Drosophila melanogaster: one gene and its partners. The protein of the gene in region 2 interacts with the protein of the main gene of each other region in a pairwise test. Each region holds a gene or a part of one and is shown on either strand. Other genes may lie near its edges.

Evidence for each region. Proteins that work in one complex are often made in the same cells at the same time.
Region 1: the proteins of knon (region 2) and eca interact in a two-hybrid assay, tested with the Drosophila melanogaster proteins (one large-scale study listed by BioGRID).
Region 3: the proteins of knon (region 2) and p24-2 interact in a two-hybrid assay, tested with the Drosophila melanogaster proteins (one large-scale study listed by BioGRID).

What each region holds. Positions count from the first base shown.
Region 1 is NT_033777.3:9,683,969-9,687,185, forward strand, and holds eca (eclair), read right to left. Parts: upstream 1,509-3,217; 5' UTR 1,412-1,508; coding exon 1,279-1,411; intron 1,217-1,278; coding exon 699-1,216; 3' UTR 501-698; downstream 1-500. Other genes in the region: CG9444 (uncharacterized protein), read right to left, coding at 1-15; CG18542 (uncharacterized protein), read left to right, coding at 1,881-2,003, 2,066-2,221, 2,279-2,749. UniProt on the Drosophila melanogaster protein: Eca and bai are essential, though not redundant, for dorsoventral patterning of the embryo. Specifically required during early embryogenesis for the activity of maternal tkv, while the zygotic tkv is not affected. Involved in Golgi organization.
Region 2 is NT_033778.4:16,496,291-16,501,286, forward strand, and holds knon (knotted onions), read right to left. Parts: upstream 3,140-4,996; 5' UTR 3,060-3,139; coding exon 2,896-3,059; intron 2,730-2,895; coding exon 689-2,729; 3' UTR 599-688; downstream 1-598.
Region 3 is NT_033777.3:9,686,902-9,694,303, forward strand, and holds p24-2 (p24-related-2), read right to left. Parts: upstream 5,875-7,402; 5' UTR 5,799-5,874; coding exon 5,666-5,798; intron 5,604-5,665; coding exon 5,002-5,603; 3' UTR 4,842-5,001; coding exon of another isoform or gene 4,724-4,841; 3' UTR 4,645-4,723; coding exon of another isoform or gene 4,264-4,644; intron 4,203-4,263; coding exon of another isoform or gene 3,531-4,202; intron 3,178-3,530; coding exon of another isoform or gene 3,121-3,177; intron 2,975-3,120; coding exon of another isoform or gene 2,421-2,974; intron 2,353-2,420; coding exon of another isoform or gene 2,179-2,352; intron 1,953-2,178; coding exon of another isoform or gene 1,813-1,952; intron 1,721-1,812; coding exon of another isoform or gene 1,635-1,720; intron 1,142-1,634; coding exon of another isoform or gene 1,035-1,141; intron 867-1,034; coding exon of another isoform or gene 800-866; intron 737-799; coding exon of another isoform or gene 561-736; 3' UTR 501-560; downstream 1-500. Other genes in the region: Unc-115b (uncoordinated 115b), read right to left, coding at 561-736, 800-866, 1,635-1,720, 1,813-1,952, 2,179-2,352, 2,421-2,974, 3,121-3,177, 3,531-4,202 and 2 more; CG32939 (uncharacterized protein), read left to right, coding at 6,268-6,390, 6,453-6,608, 6,666-7,136.

The DNA of each region.
Region 1 (3,217 bases), on a different chromosome or scaffold from region 2:
CGTAGCGCGAAACATTTTCAACAGCCTGCACGCCTAATCCGACGTAGACCAACTGAACCGGAGAGGGAGCAGAGACCTAGGCCAGTTGTTGACTTGAAAGCGCTTCAGACTGGATCGGGTTACAGAGCTGCGGCTTTTGTGGGTCGTAAGCGTTCGCGTTTGGTGTGCCACAACAAGCTGTATTGTTTTGGACGTCGGATTTGTGCCGCGACTGACGACCGCTGCTCGGGGCGGTCCAAGAGCTACTAAAAAGTCTCTTCTCCGACAGAACAAACAATGAGATAAAGGGCAGTCACGACACGATGCTGCTCGATGCAGTTACGATGGACCGCGGTCTTAAAACTAGGGAGTTAACGCCAACGACACAGGTTATCTGTCACAGCCTACTGATAAGAACAAGCCACGCTTGGTGAGGCAAACATAGTCACGGGACTCGGCTCAGCTGACTGGCAGTCTGACCCAGCGAAGATAGGATGTGGGGGTGCACACAGTCTCGGTCTCGTTTTGTACAATGGATTTTATTAAATTACGCACAAGAAATTACAACTAGAAGTGCTTGGAGTCGAGGCCAGTGGCTGGTTGGGTGGATGACGATCCATCGATGAAATTCGCAATTCCTGCCAAATGAGGGAAACACACGGAACAATGAGGCCAGTGGTTGGCCAGTGGTGCTGATGATGCCCTAGCCCCGGAGCACCTCACACCAGTTTCTTGGCCTCAAAGAAGCTCTTGAGATGACGCATCTGCCAGAAGCCCATGCAAACCAAGACGACGGTCTGGGCCAGCGACCACCAGAGCACGCGGGAGTTGGTGCTCTCGCTGGTGTGACGGAACCGCTCCTCGCGGTATCGCTGGTAGTTCTGCTCCTTGGTGATCTGCTCCACCTGGTCAAGTAGCTGGCGGATGCGCAGCTGCAGCTCAGTCAGTTTCTCCTTCTGCGCCACATGGGCGTAGTCGATAGCGTGCTCTCCCACCTGGATGTCCAGGTGAACACGCAGCTGGGCACCACTGAACCACGCGGTGCTGTTCGAGAACATGCAGATGACGTGCTCGCCAGGAGTGTGCGAGGTGAACGAGATGCGGCCCTGTGAGCTGTACACGCGGGACAGCACAATCTTGTCGTCGCTGTCGCGTACTTCCACATGCATGCCGATTCCGGGCGACGAGGGCATGAATCCATTAGAGCGCGGATCATACAGCTCTACCTTGTAGTTAACTGCAGGAGGACAAGTTAGTCGATTGGTAAAACTTCCAAGTTGGCACTAGGCTCTGGCTCACCAATCACAGTTGTCTCGTCGGGAACCTCCTCGATGAAGCACTTGCGCTCCGTCTCCGATATGTGGAAGTACAAGCCGCAGGCGCTGTGCAGGACGCACAGAATCAGGGCCAGGCTGATGAATTGGTCGCGCATTTTCGGCTATTTGCAGTGACTTTTTCGAGTAGTTCTTTAATAAAGTTAAGCTCGCCGACACGTCATGAGAAAAAGTGCCAGATCAAAGTCAGAGTGTTTGGCATGAGAGATGGCACCGTGATTGGGCTAGCTCACGGCAAGCTCACGAAAGCGATTCTTTTAAATAAATGGAACAAACGATAAATTAAAATAGTTATTCAAACAGGTGTACATTTAAAAAATAAGAGTTGAAGACTAATTTTCAAACATTGTAAAATATTATATCTAATAAATAAACTTCTTGCGATAGTTATTCTCACGCTATCAGTCTTGAGTTCTCTTTGCCGATATCTGTCTCGAGTGGCAACACCGCAGCAACAGCTGTTTTGCCATAAGAAGTAGTGGATTTTGCATCGCTTTGGACACACTGATTGATCGGTGTTTTTATTTTTTTTTGGTTCGGCTTATCTAATAATTTAATAACACATTAATGCAGCCATTTATTGTCATTCGCAACTACACGCAAGATGATGAGCTCAAGTGCCAGGAGCTGGTGCGGGACTACATCATGTCGTTCTCGAATAAGTCCTTTTTTGTCTATTGCTTTCGAGAGGTGAGACATCTTTATCTAGATCCCCAAACTCTATGAACTATTTGGATTTCAACTTTTTTCAGATCACCCTGCAGTTCATAGTCATCACGTGGGCCATATTCTTCATATTTCTGGGAGTGCCCCTGCTTTTTTGTGCACTCACTGTGCCCGCTTGCATATTTTGCCTATTTACCGGCACCTACTTCTCGTTTTACTCCAAGGCAGTGGAGTTGATGAGGGTAAGTGTTAAAGCATCGGCAGCAAAGTATCTCAAACTAAGAACGTTTACTTTCCAGACCAAACCATCGCAGTCTTTGGTGGCCGAGTGCTATGAACCCTTCATTTTCCGCTGCTCACCGAAGGAAGCTAGCTACCAGATATTTACCGAGAACTGTCCATACGAGGAAACATACACGAGGAAATTCCGGCGCAGGATTGTGGCCGCTATTAGTGTGAAGAATCACCACGCCGTATACAATGCTGCATGGATCTATCGCTTTGCCATCGATCCCCATTACCCGTGTCAGACGATCATGGACCCCATGATAAAACTGGTGGTCAAGAACTGCATTATCGGCGGGTACGCCTCACTGGAGTGCACTATCTCCGAGTGGCAGGAAAGTGAGCGCGACTTTTATGATGATTTTGGGTTCGTTACGCGGCAGATCTACCACAAAAAGATCATTGGCAGCAGTTTGGCAGTGATGAAAACCCAGCTGACCTATGGGTTACGTACCGACGGAGCAGCTTTGCACAAGCAAAACTAGTGCGTTACCAATGGTGCAATATAGATGATAGATAAATGGATTCTGTGGAATCTTATTTAATATTTACGTATTTATTCTGTGAACTTTACATTCCAGTCACATATTGCGTCCCGAACTCAAATCACACCGAATTATGCCCTTGATGGCGTTTCTTTATCGATTCGACAATGTTTAAAGCCAGTTTAGCCAATATATAGTAAGCTAATACTCCACAAACATTCCTGCATGTCGACAGACTTTAGCCGTTGTCGGCTCGACAAAGAGTAAATTCCGTCTAGGATTAAGAAGAAACTTTATAATCTCCACACTCGAAGTTTTAATAATTGTAAACACGTTGACACTGCTTTTGTCCTGTTTTATTATCTCTGGTTTATTCTTTGACATATTCTATTTAAATAAATAAATAAAATATTTAGTAATAAATAAAATTTGCGTAATGATTTAGCGTAAATTTGATGCCACACATCT
Region 2 (4,996 bases):
AACACACACACAAACACACACACACCCACACACTTACACAAGCAGGACCAGCTAATTATGCAAATGTGTTTGATTGCGAAAACCCTGCGCCAAAATGTAGGCAACACTTTTCGAACGGCTGCTTTGAAATGCCAAACAAAATGGAGAAACTAAAAAGTGGACTAGTTTGACTTGGTTATACCCTGCTTTTTTTACAGGTAAGATTGTGATAAGGTAGGATAAACTCACCTTCAATTATTGTAAAACAATCAATACAAATGCACTTTTTAGTAAACACATACAGAGATGTAAAAACAGGTTTGATAATTCTGTAAACTCACCTTTTCATATCCGCACACTATACCCCTTTACACTTGGCGGGTGGATAAACAACAAAATTAGCATAATTATGCAATCTACAAACGCCTCACACTCATTTCGCTTGCAAAATCCAAATAGAAAACTTTTTAGCCGTAACAGCAAAGCGAAGCTAGTGGAAAAGAATAAATTTATTGCCCATGCCCACCAACCAACTTTTTGGTCAGCAAAGCTGGCCTGGAAAAAAATTTGCATGAAAACAAACGTAACGAGATTCGAAATCAAATGAAAGCGAAACTTTGAACGGTAAACAAATGTAACATAAAATTTAATACGAAAAACAACTAACACAAATTGGTAGAAAATTATTACGAAATAGTGTTTGTGCTGATTACTTTTTCTTCTTAAGATCCTTGAGAACTCGAGCGATTTCGTCCTTCAAGGCCACTGCACGTCCGGCCAGCATTTTGGCCAAAATGGCATGCTTTTCGGCCATTTCCAATGCCTCGCGATCTCGGCTGCTCACTTCGCCAGTTTGTTCGGCAGATCTTATGGCCAAATTGTTGGCGGCTTCCACGGCCTTCGATGCCTCGGCCAGAGCTCCTTGGGCCTGCCTTTGGGCCGAAGTGTAGGCCTGTTCCAGTGCCTCCAGACGAGCCTCCTTCTTCCTCTTCAAGTCCTCCAGTGTGTTGGTGGCTTCTGTTAGTAGAGTAGCAGCTCCTGAGGCCATTGTGAACACCTGCTTGGCCATATCCTTGGGTGACTTTTGTCCTTCAGCTTCTTGCTTGACTTGATCGCCCTTCGGATTGGCTGATATCTCTAGCTTGGGATATATGGTAATTGGTTTGTCATCTTCGGGCTTCTGTGCTTCTTCAATTATAACTGGTTTTTCCTTTTTCTGGACTAGCAGCTCTGCAAGTTGATTGGGATCTGTATACACAGGACCAATTTCATTTGCGCCTTCAATACTAGCTTTGTGATCCTTTTTAGAGTCCTTGGATTCTGTTATCTGCATGCCAAGCACGGGTTTTTGATCTGATCCTTGTGGAATTTCTGACAGTGATGCCTTTTCCTTGGGCTTACCCGAATCACCAGATTTCTTTTCTTCCTGCTTGGCGAGTTCCTTACTGCACTCGGATATGTTGATGAAGACCTGGTCCTGCTGCTTCGATTTTGTCGAACCGCCTTCATTGTCACCACCGAATTGGTAATCACCATCGCATTTCGGCTTCTTCTTGCAAGGATCCTCCTCATCTTCACAGGAGCCCTCTTCGTCCTTCGGCTTACAAGGATCGGGCTTGCAAATGTCATCTTCTTTCTCCTTCTGCTGGCAGGGATCTGGCTTACAGACTGCTTCTTCCTCTTTCGCTTTGCAAGGATCTGGCTTGCAAACGGTTTCCTCTTCCATGAGCTTGCAAGGATCAGTTTCCTTTTCGGCGTCACAAGGATCTTTCTTGGTCTTGTGTTTCTCCCATTCCTCCGCCTCTTTTAATTGTCTCTTGCGCTCCAATGTCCTAGCTATCTCCCTGGCTCGCTCCTCCTGGGCATCGCAAGGATCCGCCTCAATGGAAAGGTTAGTATGCCTGGCCTTAACCTCCGGATTGGCCTCTGCCTCCTCGCTGCGTATTATAGTTTGGTTGCAGATGTTCGGTCCAGACTCTCGTTCCGTAATGCTGTCCAGTGACTTGGTTGGTGCGGCTGTAGGCGTTGCGGATTTGCTGGCAGTTTCGGAACGCGCAGCTTTGGCGGCGTCTGCCTTTTTCTGAACATTCTTGGCCAGACCCGACATCTTTTCTTTAAGACTATTAAAAAGAACAATAGCTTTGGCCATCAAATCTTTGGCGATTAAAGTGGCCTTTTCGGCCAACTGAGAGGTGTCGACAACGGGTTCTTTTGGCTCCTTTGGAGCCGCAGCCGCCGGAGGCTTTCCTTCTCCACTAGGCTTATCTGGTAACTTTTCGGGAGCTGGTTTCTTTGGCGGTTCGGGCTCCTCTTCGTGATGCAAAGCAGCTGCTGCCTCTGGATCCGATGGACCTGGCATTTGCTCTTCAGGAGTGTGTGGCCAGAAAGTGGGCTTGTTGATGAAATCGGGTGCCAAGTGCGGACGGGCAAAACAAAATTCCTCCATGGTCATTTCGGAATAGGGTCGCATTGCCTTCACGAACTCCAACTTTTCGGTTAGCTCCTGGATTCTTTTATCCGACTCCGCCTTGTATTCGCTAATACATTTTGTCACCACCTTCTTTTCTTCATCGACGAGTTCAAAGTATCGCTTGTGATCTACTATGGCATGTCGATTCTCGAATACGGAATGCAATTTATCATACTTGGTCTCGTATCCCTTCACCCAATCGACAAACTCTTCTCTCACATTCTGACGGTAGTATTCCCAGTCGATTGTCGGCATCGATTCCGGATACTTACGAACGCGGCTATAAAATATATTTATATTATTCTCTACAATGGGAAATAATTCTCATATAAAGCAACATAAGCTGTAACCTAAATAATTAGTAAAGACCCTGCCCTTCTAAGGTAGACTTAATTCATGCTCCCCCAGGTGACCCCAATTCCCTGTTTTTGGTGACCCCATCTTACTCCTTGTACTCCTCGTGCTTCTTGGCAAACATTTTGAACTTGTGCATCTGGTTCGGCGGCACCTGTTTCATCAGATCCGCCAGTTCGACAACTTGGCAGCTTACATTCTTGACGCCACCATTGCCACCATTGCTCTTGATGCAGTTCACCAGCTTTTCCCACATCCTTCGGATTCTTTAGCAGTATTTTTATGGATTTATATATGTGTATGTTCAGGTGTGTTCACATTGGCCTCCAGTCTGTTCTATAACTTGTACAAATATGTGAGTGCGTAGTGTGTGTGTGTGTGTTGAAAACTCCTAAGGAGCCAACTGAGAGCCATTAAAAGTGAAAATTCCAAAAGGCTATAAAAAAAAACGGGGTGGGCGGAGAAATCGAGATTTCAATTTATAGCCCGAAATTGCATATTCATGCAGTTTCAATTAAATCAGAGTCAGGCGCAGCGACAGCTAAGCAAGTGGGTTTGACTAACTGACAATAAAATCGAAAATTAATTCCAACCCAGCAGACTGCTCAAGGAAAGTTAAATGTAATTGCATGGAGATGGGGTATTTTTGGGGTGGCATTGCCAAGTGGGTGGAGTGGGTGGAAATGTAAAATCACACCCAGGATATGCGTATGTGTTTGGGACCTCTCGAGTCTGCGAATGCTCCAAAGTGACAAACGCAATTTATAACGCAACGAAAATGGGCTAATGCCAATTCTTCAGGTAATTGTCGTCTGCTCTCTCTCTCTCTCCCTCTCACTCTCTTTCTCTAGAGAATCATGGTGCGAGAGAGGGTGTGCGAATTGCAACCCCTGCTGGAATCGCAGGATATGCTCCTTTAAACGTTTTGGAACGAAACGAAACATGCGCCTGCGCTCTGTGAATGTTTCGCTGTCATTTTGACAGTTGCGAATGTCCTCTCACCACCAACAAGGACCTTTCCCTACAGGACTCGAACAGCTGCCTCGCTCTCGCAGGACGAAACGCATGGAAAGAGGAACGGCGAGAGAGAGAGCAAGAGATTGTCTGCTCCGTTTGACAGCAAAATTCGAGCGTCTGTAAATTTGTATGCCTATTTTTCTGTGTTTTCGCATTTAAAATAATTAAAACTCGAGTGAAACTTAAGATTTATGAATCCAAATAGTGAACAATGGTTGTGATTACGTTGGCACCCATCTATAAACACAAATAAGCCCACAGTCAACTTAACTTCATCTGTGTTCATGTTCCTTTTCGCGTGTTTGTGTGTACCATACAAAAGTGTGTTTACATTTTTTCATTCATCCTAACCAACAACTAAACAATAGAATAAATGGTTTAAAAACATTTTCGCAGAACTGGCAGATTAACAATATCAAGTAAGTTACCTAACTTTAGATCTCTAAAGTTCATGTTATCTGAAATCCTATGTTCCTATGAAATATAAATAAAATTCATCGTGTATGTGATTGTTTGAGAGTGTACATGTACACAATCGCATCTATGTAAGTGTGTGTGGAAAAGGACATACCTGTGCAAGCTGGGCCAAGGATTCTATGTGGGCTGGCCTGGATGGGATAAAGTAAAGAAAATAAATACAAGCACCAAAATATACATTTAAAAACTCAATGAGAATAAATAAATATGTTTGAACAGCTGAAAAAAAATGATATTTATACATTATATTATACATTATTTATACAGACACTAAATAAATAAGGCAACGGATTTATTCTATAAAATATCGTATTAAGTAACTTTAATATGCTTAAAACTGTTTTTTTTTGTTTTTAAAATACCTTTAATCTATTTAAGCTGGCAAAAAAAAGGTAATCACATAAATTAAGCTCAAAATAATGGCCATAAGCCCAGTGGTCATAGTAACACTCACCCACTTTTCGGCTCAAATTTATTTCAAAACTTAATGAAACTCATCAAAATTCCCACGGACCGAAATGAAATGCTGCAAATGAACTAATTGACTCGAATGATACTTTACAACTTTGCCGAGGCTAAGCCCGGATCCCAACTCTTAACCCCACGAAGAAGAAAATAGAGTTTTGCGGCAAGCGGCGAATAAAATGTGGAAAAATAAATTTCCAAAGCTCGCTGGCTGATGGCTTAGAATTTTAATGT
Region 3 (7,402 bases), on a different chromosome or scaffold from region 2:
AGCCAATATATAGTAAGCTAATACTCCACAAACATTCCTGCATGTCGACAGACTTTAGCCGTTGTCGGCTCGACAAAGAGTAAATTCCGTCTAGGATTAAGAAGAAACTTTATAATCTCCACACTCGAAGTTTTAATAATTGTAAACACGTTGACACTGCTTTTGTCCTGTTTTATTATCTCTGGTTTATTCTTTGACATATTCTATTTAAATAAATAAATAAAATATTTAGTAATAAATAAAATTTGCGTAATGATTTAGCGTAAATTTGATGCCACACATCTAATGTTTCGCATTTTGCTGTGTGATTCTGCTGTAGGTACATTAATTTCTTATTCTTTGATGCATTTCTCGGTTCTGTAGCCCGTTACATGGTTGAATTAAGGTGTAATTTGGAAAAAGAGTCCAGTTTATGTTTGCGTTTAAATTGCCATAGCACTGCGTATAAAAAGCCTACATGCCGGGGACATGCAATGTTTAACTAATTTCATATATCATCTGTCTGTATACACTTCGTTTTTTATTGGGATTTTATGTTCCTTTCATATAGTTGTTCTCAGTTACAATTTTGCGTTAGCGCAACTAATTATCGAATGGGACATGTTGGGCAGACTGCGCCGGATGAGTCCGGCCTGCGGATAGTGGTAGGAGAGTGCTCCTGAGTAAGTGCTCGAGGCGGGCAGGTCGCCGCCCATCAGAGCTCGCCTATCGCCCTCGGTGATCGAGTCCACAGAAGCTGCCAGAGGAGAATTATGTTATTCTTTCGCCGAGCCGGGTTTTCAAAATATATTTCACTTACCCTCCGATTTGCCGCAGCTCAAATCTGTGCTGTGGGTCTTGTCGCCCAGTCCTCCATAGGAGAAGTCCTGTTTTCGAAAAGGGCATGGGATTAGTTTTCTGATCAAATTGAGGGACACATGCAACAATAATAAACGAAAAACCAGTGCAAGTTACAGGTGATACCAACGGGCATCCAAACACAAGACGGGGACTCAAAGGACTCTACGGCATAGCAACAACGAAAGCGGTCTTACAGTGGCACCATGCATCGTGGCCGCAGCGGATGTGGTGGAGCTGAATGTGTGGGAGCGTGGTGCTAGCCCGTATCCTGGCTTGGGCACATGGCGCAGCGCACTCACCACTGAGCAGATGTGGATGTAGATGTACATGTTGATGGTGTTCAAGTGATGTTGATATGTTCATGATGCAAATGTTCGAGTTTTAGTTGGTCAAGTGTGGATGGGTGTTAGTTTTTTGAGTTATTTGTTGTCAGGTGTCAGGGCAACAATAGCAAACACATAGTTGTTAGGAGTGGCGCAGGATGGGTGGATGGGTGGGATTGGGTTTTCAGACACGCAATGAAGCAGCAGACCAACCAGTTGAGACATATGCGAAACAGTTGTTAGTTCATCCAGGTGAGCAAACCAGTGGCGGCATTGGAAAGTGAGAGAAACAAGAAACAAATACCGTCGTAACTATTTTGGGATTACATATAAGCGGATAGGTTCGTGTGGTAGTGGGTAAGCTATAAGCTACATAACCGACAGCCCGGCACCAAGGATATAATCTGATCTGATCGGATCGGATCGGATCTGATGCGATCTATGCCGATCTGAGCAACAGGCAGCACTTACGGAGCTGAAGCCATTGCGTATATAGGGCAGAGTCGTCGTTTTGAATCCGTATCCGGGCTTGGGCGGCGATCGGTAGGAATGTATGGCTATAAACGTAAGTGGGCTAATATATAATATCGGTATCGAATCGCTATTTGCCTGAAAATCGAAACTAGGACAATGCTCTCTAGAGGATTACCATTGTAGCTGGGCGCGTTTCCAAGCGATTTGCCAAGCGAGCCACGGTAGCTGGTGGAGCGATCGAACATCTCGTCCTCGTAGAAGGGCTTCTGGTGGTCCAGATTGCGCGATGGCGATGCTCCAATGGGCGATTCGTATCTGTGTAATCAAGATGTCATAGGATTAGTATTACTACACTATACTATATACTATAACCATATGTTTTGCTATCTTATCGTTCTATTTTTAAAACAAATAATAATAGATTTCTTCAAGTGCAAAATACACCGAGCACGAACTAGAAGATACATTTTTCAATTTTCTTATAACGATCAATTTTCATTATCATCATTTTTCAATTTTCTTATAACGATCAATATCTTACCTCAATTTGTAGAGTGGCTCCTTGGAAGCGGAGGGCGTCCTGGATGCGTTGCGCGGATCCAAATTGTTCTGCTTCCACTTCCTGTACTTGGCGTGCTCCTTGAGGTCCTTGGCAATCGCCGATCCGATGCCCGAGTTAAGCTTTTCCAGCTGTTCGGCTTCGCGTTGAAGGCGTCTGTATTTTTGGGAAGAGATTTAATAGGATCTAGGATCATAGCATGCACAAGAGATTCCAATACTCACTGCTGCTCCTCGCCATTCTTGACCTTGCCATTCGGCTTGCCATTCTCCACATTCTCGTCCTCATCATCGGAGGCGGGCACTCCCTTGTAGGTATCACTGTATCGCCGCCTACGCTCCGGATCCGTGTAGGGATACGGCGGAGCGGGAAAGTCATCCCGCTCGATCTTGGGCTGCTCACCTGGCGGCGGCTTCTTGGCGGCCGGATAGTGAGACAGTTCAATCGGCTCCTCGTTGTTCATGCCAGGACTCTTGGGACGCGGCGTCTCCGAGCGGATGGCGTCCACCAGCACCTTCATGGCGCTGCGGGTCCGCGAGTGGGGACGCGACGGCGGGCGGCTTCCGGCCACGGATCCCGCATTGCTGGCGGTGGTCGCGTATGAGGAGGGCCGATGGAAGTGCGGCGACAGCGGCGTCTTGTCATACGGATCGATCGGCTTGCGCAGATAGTGCGGCGCATCCGTCAGATAGCTGTAGGTGTAGATGCGCGAGATGTCCTCGGCATTGGGTCGTCCGTACTCCCGGAGTATCAGACCCGGACTCACCGTTCGGTAGTGCTGCAAATTAAGTGGGATTAGTCCTGGGCTCTCATTTCAAAGTTTAAATACATGCAGTGCCGTGTGTTTTTCTTTTCGGTTTTAGTATTTTCAAAAACGATGGCAGAAAATGAGGGGAAATCATAAAGTAAAATTATAAAACAAACCTTGCGGCTAGAGGAATAAAGTGAACCATTAAAGCTCGGAGTTCTGGAGCGGATGTACTGAAAACGAACGAAAAAATAAAAACGCAAGCTCAAAACAACTAAAATGCAAGTAACTGAAATTATAAAATCATAAGTGCTGTGTGTAGGTGCAAAAAGGGGGTGGTAAATTGAGATGGGTGATATTTTCAGGGTGCCTATATAAATATAATATATAAGGTTCTAAAATAGTTCTAAAATATCACCCATTCTAGTATGAAATTTGATTTTAAATGCGTGTGCCTTTCGTGAATTTTGCAGCATTCAAATTAGTTGCAAGCTCAGCAGCCTCTTTAAACTCGGGATTGTTGTGTTGGAGTCTCGAGAATTATCTCAGTACCAGCGGTTTATCATCTGTAGATCCGACTACTTACCATCTCGCTAAGGGCACTGGAGCTCATCCGGTCGCATTCAGTGTCTGTGAAGTTGCCATTGGAGGCACCTCCGACCACCGACGAAGTGCCTCCGCCGCCGTTCAAAATTATGCCGGACTCGGAGGGACCCGGACCGCATCGCGGATGCCAGATGGCACTGCCCTGCAGGTACATCTCCTCGCCGTCGCCGAAGGGATCGCCGCACTTTGTGCAGCGGGCACAGGTCGGATGGAAGTGGTGGTTGTCGCCCGCCTGGAGCACCTTGCCGCTAATGAAGCGACTGCAGTAGGCACACTTCACCCCGAATCCCTTCTGGTAGCACTTCTCGCAGTAGGGCACCGCGTCTTTGCCCATGTACTCCCCATTGAGCACCGCCTGGCAGGCCTTGCACCGGAAACAAGAGACATGCCACTGCCGGTCCAACGCCACCAGTGCCTGGCCCTCCTTCAGCAGCTCCCCACAGCCGGCACAGTCATTGGGATCGTAGTCCTCCTTGAGGTGCGCCTTATGAGAGATCACACTGCCGTGCTGCTGGTGGGCAGTGGCTCTCGTCGGACTCTCCGCCGGAGGAGCTGGCGAGGAGACGCCTCCACCCGTCGCCTGGCGACTGGGCGACACTGGAGCACCCGTGACGCATTGCTCGCAAAGCACCTCCTTTCCGGTGTTGGTCACCTGTGAGGAGGAATATGTGATTAGTTACTTATCACTCGATCTGTGGAGGGTTTCAGCTCACCTTACTGCCCGACTTGAAGGGCTGCTTGCACTTGGAGCAGGTGAAGCACTTCTGGTGATAGGTCTTGCCCATGGTGCTGACCACCTCGCCCTCCACATACTGCTGGCAATTTGCGCACTTGGTGCCGTACAGCCGCTGATAGTCCGGTATGCAATAGTAGGCGTTGTCCTTTGTGAAGAATCCGCCGGTGGCCAGGGACTTCTTGCACTGGCAGCACTGGAAGCAGGCCTTGTGGAAGTGGTTGTCCGCCACGCGGAGCACCTCGCCGGAGCACTTCTTCGTGCATTTCGCACAGTAGATTTTTTGTTTACCTGTTTGCGGGGAAAAGGGGACGAAAACGAAGGGAGAACTACGGTTAGTAGAGCCTGACATTAAATTCATTCAATCAGTACTATCGCCAGATTACGTATACGCAGTGTTGCGCTGATGTCATATGCATGTGATGCGATAATGCCCCAACCTTGCCCCGTTTTACCGAGCTCAGTTCGAAGCTCCGTTCCCAATGTGCTAGGGTATATCGGTCTGGTCTTGTCTGTTTGTGGATGTTTCGGAATGGATATATATATTAATATATACATCACAACTTATCGTATATCGTATGTTGCGAGATTCGTTGTATGTGTGTGTGCGTTGTTTCCCCCACACTTGTGTGCCTATGTAAGCACTTGTATTGACAGTCACAACCAGGCCAACTCTTCTACACACCCCGACATGGCCGTAAGTCGTTTGTAGTCTGACTCACGGGTCTGGCAAGCCATTAATCTTATCATTGATAAGGCCAAGGGCAGATATTTTCTTTATATAAAGACAGCACACACACAAACACTGCTCGTTAATGTACACACAAGTGTGGAACAGGTTAAATAGATGCCAGAAGCCCATGCAAACCAAGACGACGGTCTGGGCCAGCGACCACCAGAGCACGCGGGAGTTGGTGCTCTCGCTGGTGTGACGGAACCGCTCCTCGCGGTATCGCTGGTAGTTCTGCTCCTTGGTGATCTGCTCCACCTGGTCAAGTAGCTGGCGGATGCGCAGCTGCAGCTCAGTCAGTTTCTCCTTCTGCGCCACATGGGCGTAGTCGATAGCGTGCTCTCCCACCTGGATGTCCAGGTGAACACGCAGCTGGGCACCACTGAACCACGCGGTGCTGTTCGAGAACATGCAGATGACGTGCTCGCCAGGAGTGTGCGAGGTGAACGAGATGCGGCCCTGTGAGCTGTACACGCGGGACAGCACAATCTTGTCGTCGCTGTCGCGTACTTCCACATGCATGCCGATTCCGGGCGACGAGGGCATGAATCCATTAGAGCGCGGATCATACAGCTCTACCTTGTAGTTAACTGCAGGAGGACAAGTTAGTCGATTGGTAAAACTTCCAAGTTGGCACTAGGCTCTGGCTCACCAATCACAGTTGTCTCGTCGGGAACCTCCTCGATGAAGCACTTGCGCTCCGTCTGCGATATGTGGAAGTACAAGCCGCAGGCGCTGTGCAGGACGCACAGAATCAGGGCCAGGCTGATGAATTGGTCGCGCATTTTCGGCTATTTGCAGTGACTTTTTCGAGTAGTTCTTTAATAAAGTTAAGCTCGCCGACACGTCATGAGAAAAAGTGCCAGATCAAAGTCAGAGTGTTTGGCATGAGAGATGGCACCGTGATTGGGCTAGCTCACGGCAAGCTCACGAAAGCGATTCTTTTAAATAAATGGAACAAACGATAAATTAAAATAGTTATTCAAACAGGTGTACATTTAAAAAATAAGAGTTGAAGACTAATTTTCAAACATTGTAAAATATTATATCTAATAAATAAACTTCTTGCGATAGTTATTCTCACGCTATCAGTCTTGAGTTCTCTTTGCCGATATCTGTCTCGAGTGGCAACACCGCAGCAACAGCTGTTTTGCCATAAGAAGTAGTGGATTTTGCATCGCTTTGGACACACTGATTGATCGGTGTTTTTATTTTTTTTTGGTTCGGCTTATCTAATAATTTAATAACACATTAATGCAGCCATTTATTGTCATTCGCAACTACACGCAAGATGATGAGCTCAAGTGCCAGGAGCTGGTGCGGGACTACATCATGTCGTTCTCGAATAAGTCCTTTTTTGTCTATTGCTTTCGAGAGGTGAGACATCTTTATCTAGATCCCCAAACTCTATGAACTATTTGGATTTCAACTTTTTTCAGATCACCCTGCAGTTCATAGTCATCACGTGGGCCATATTCTTCATATTTCTGGGAGTGCCCCTGCTTTTTTGTGCACTCACTGTGCCCGCTTGCATATTTTGCCTATTTACCGGCACCTACTTCTCGTTTTACTCCAAGGCAGTGGAGTTGATGAGGGTAAGTGTTAAAGCATCGGCAGCAAAGTATCTCAAACTAAGAACGTTTACTTTCCAGACCAAACCATCGCAGTCTTTGGTGGCCGAGTGCTATGAACCCTTCATTTTCCGCTGCTCACCGAAGGAAGCTAGCTACCAGATATTTACCGAGAACTGTCCATACGAGGAAACATACACGAGGAAATTCCGGCGCAGGATTGTGGCCGCTATTAGTGTGAAGAATCACCACGCCGTATACAATGCTGCATGGATCTATCGCTTTGCCATCGATCCCCATTACCCGTGTCAGACGATCATGGACCCCATGATAAAACTGGTGGTCAAGAACTGCATTATCGGCGGGTACGCCTCACTGGAGTGCACTATCTCCGAGTGGCAGGAAAGTGAGCGCGACTTTTATGATGATTTTGGGTTCGTTACGCGGCAGATCTACCACAAAAAGATCATTGGCAGCAGTTTGGCAGTGATGAAAACCCAGCTGACCTATGGGTTACGTACCGACGGAGCAGCTTTGCACAAGCAAAACTAGTGCGTTACCAATGGTGCAATATAGATGATAGATAAATGGATTCTGTGGAATCTTATTTAATATTTACGTATTTATTCTGTGAACTTTACATTCCAGTCACATATTGCGTCCCGAACTCAAATCACACCGAATTATGCCCTTGATGGCGTTTCTTTATCGATTCGACAATGTTTAAAGCCAGTTTAGCCAATATATAGTAAGCTAATACTCCACAAACATTCCTGCATGTCGACAGACTTTAGCCGTTGTCGGCTCGACAAAGAGTA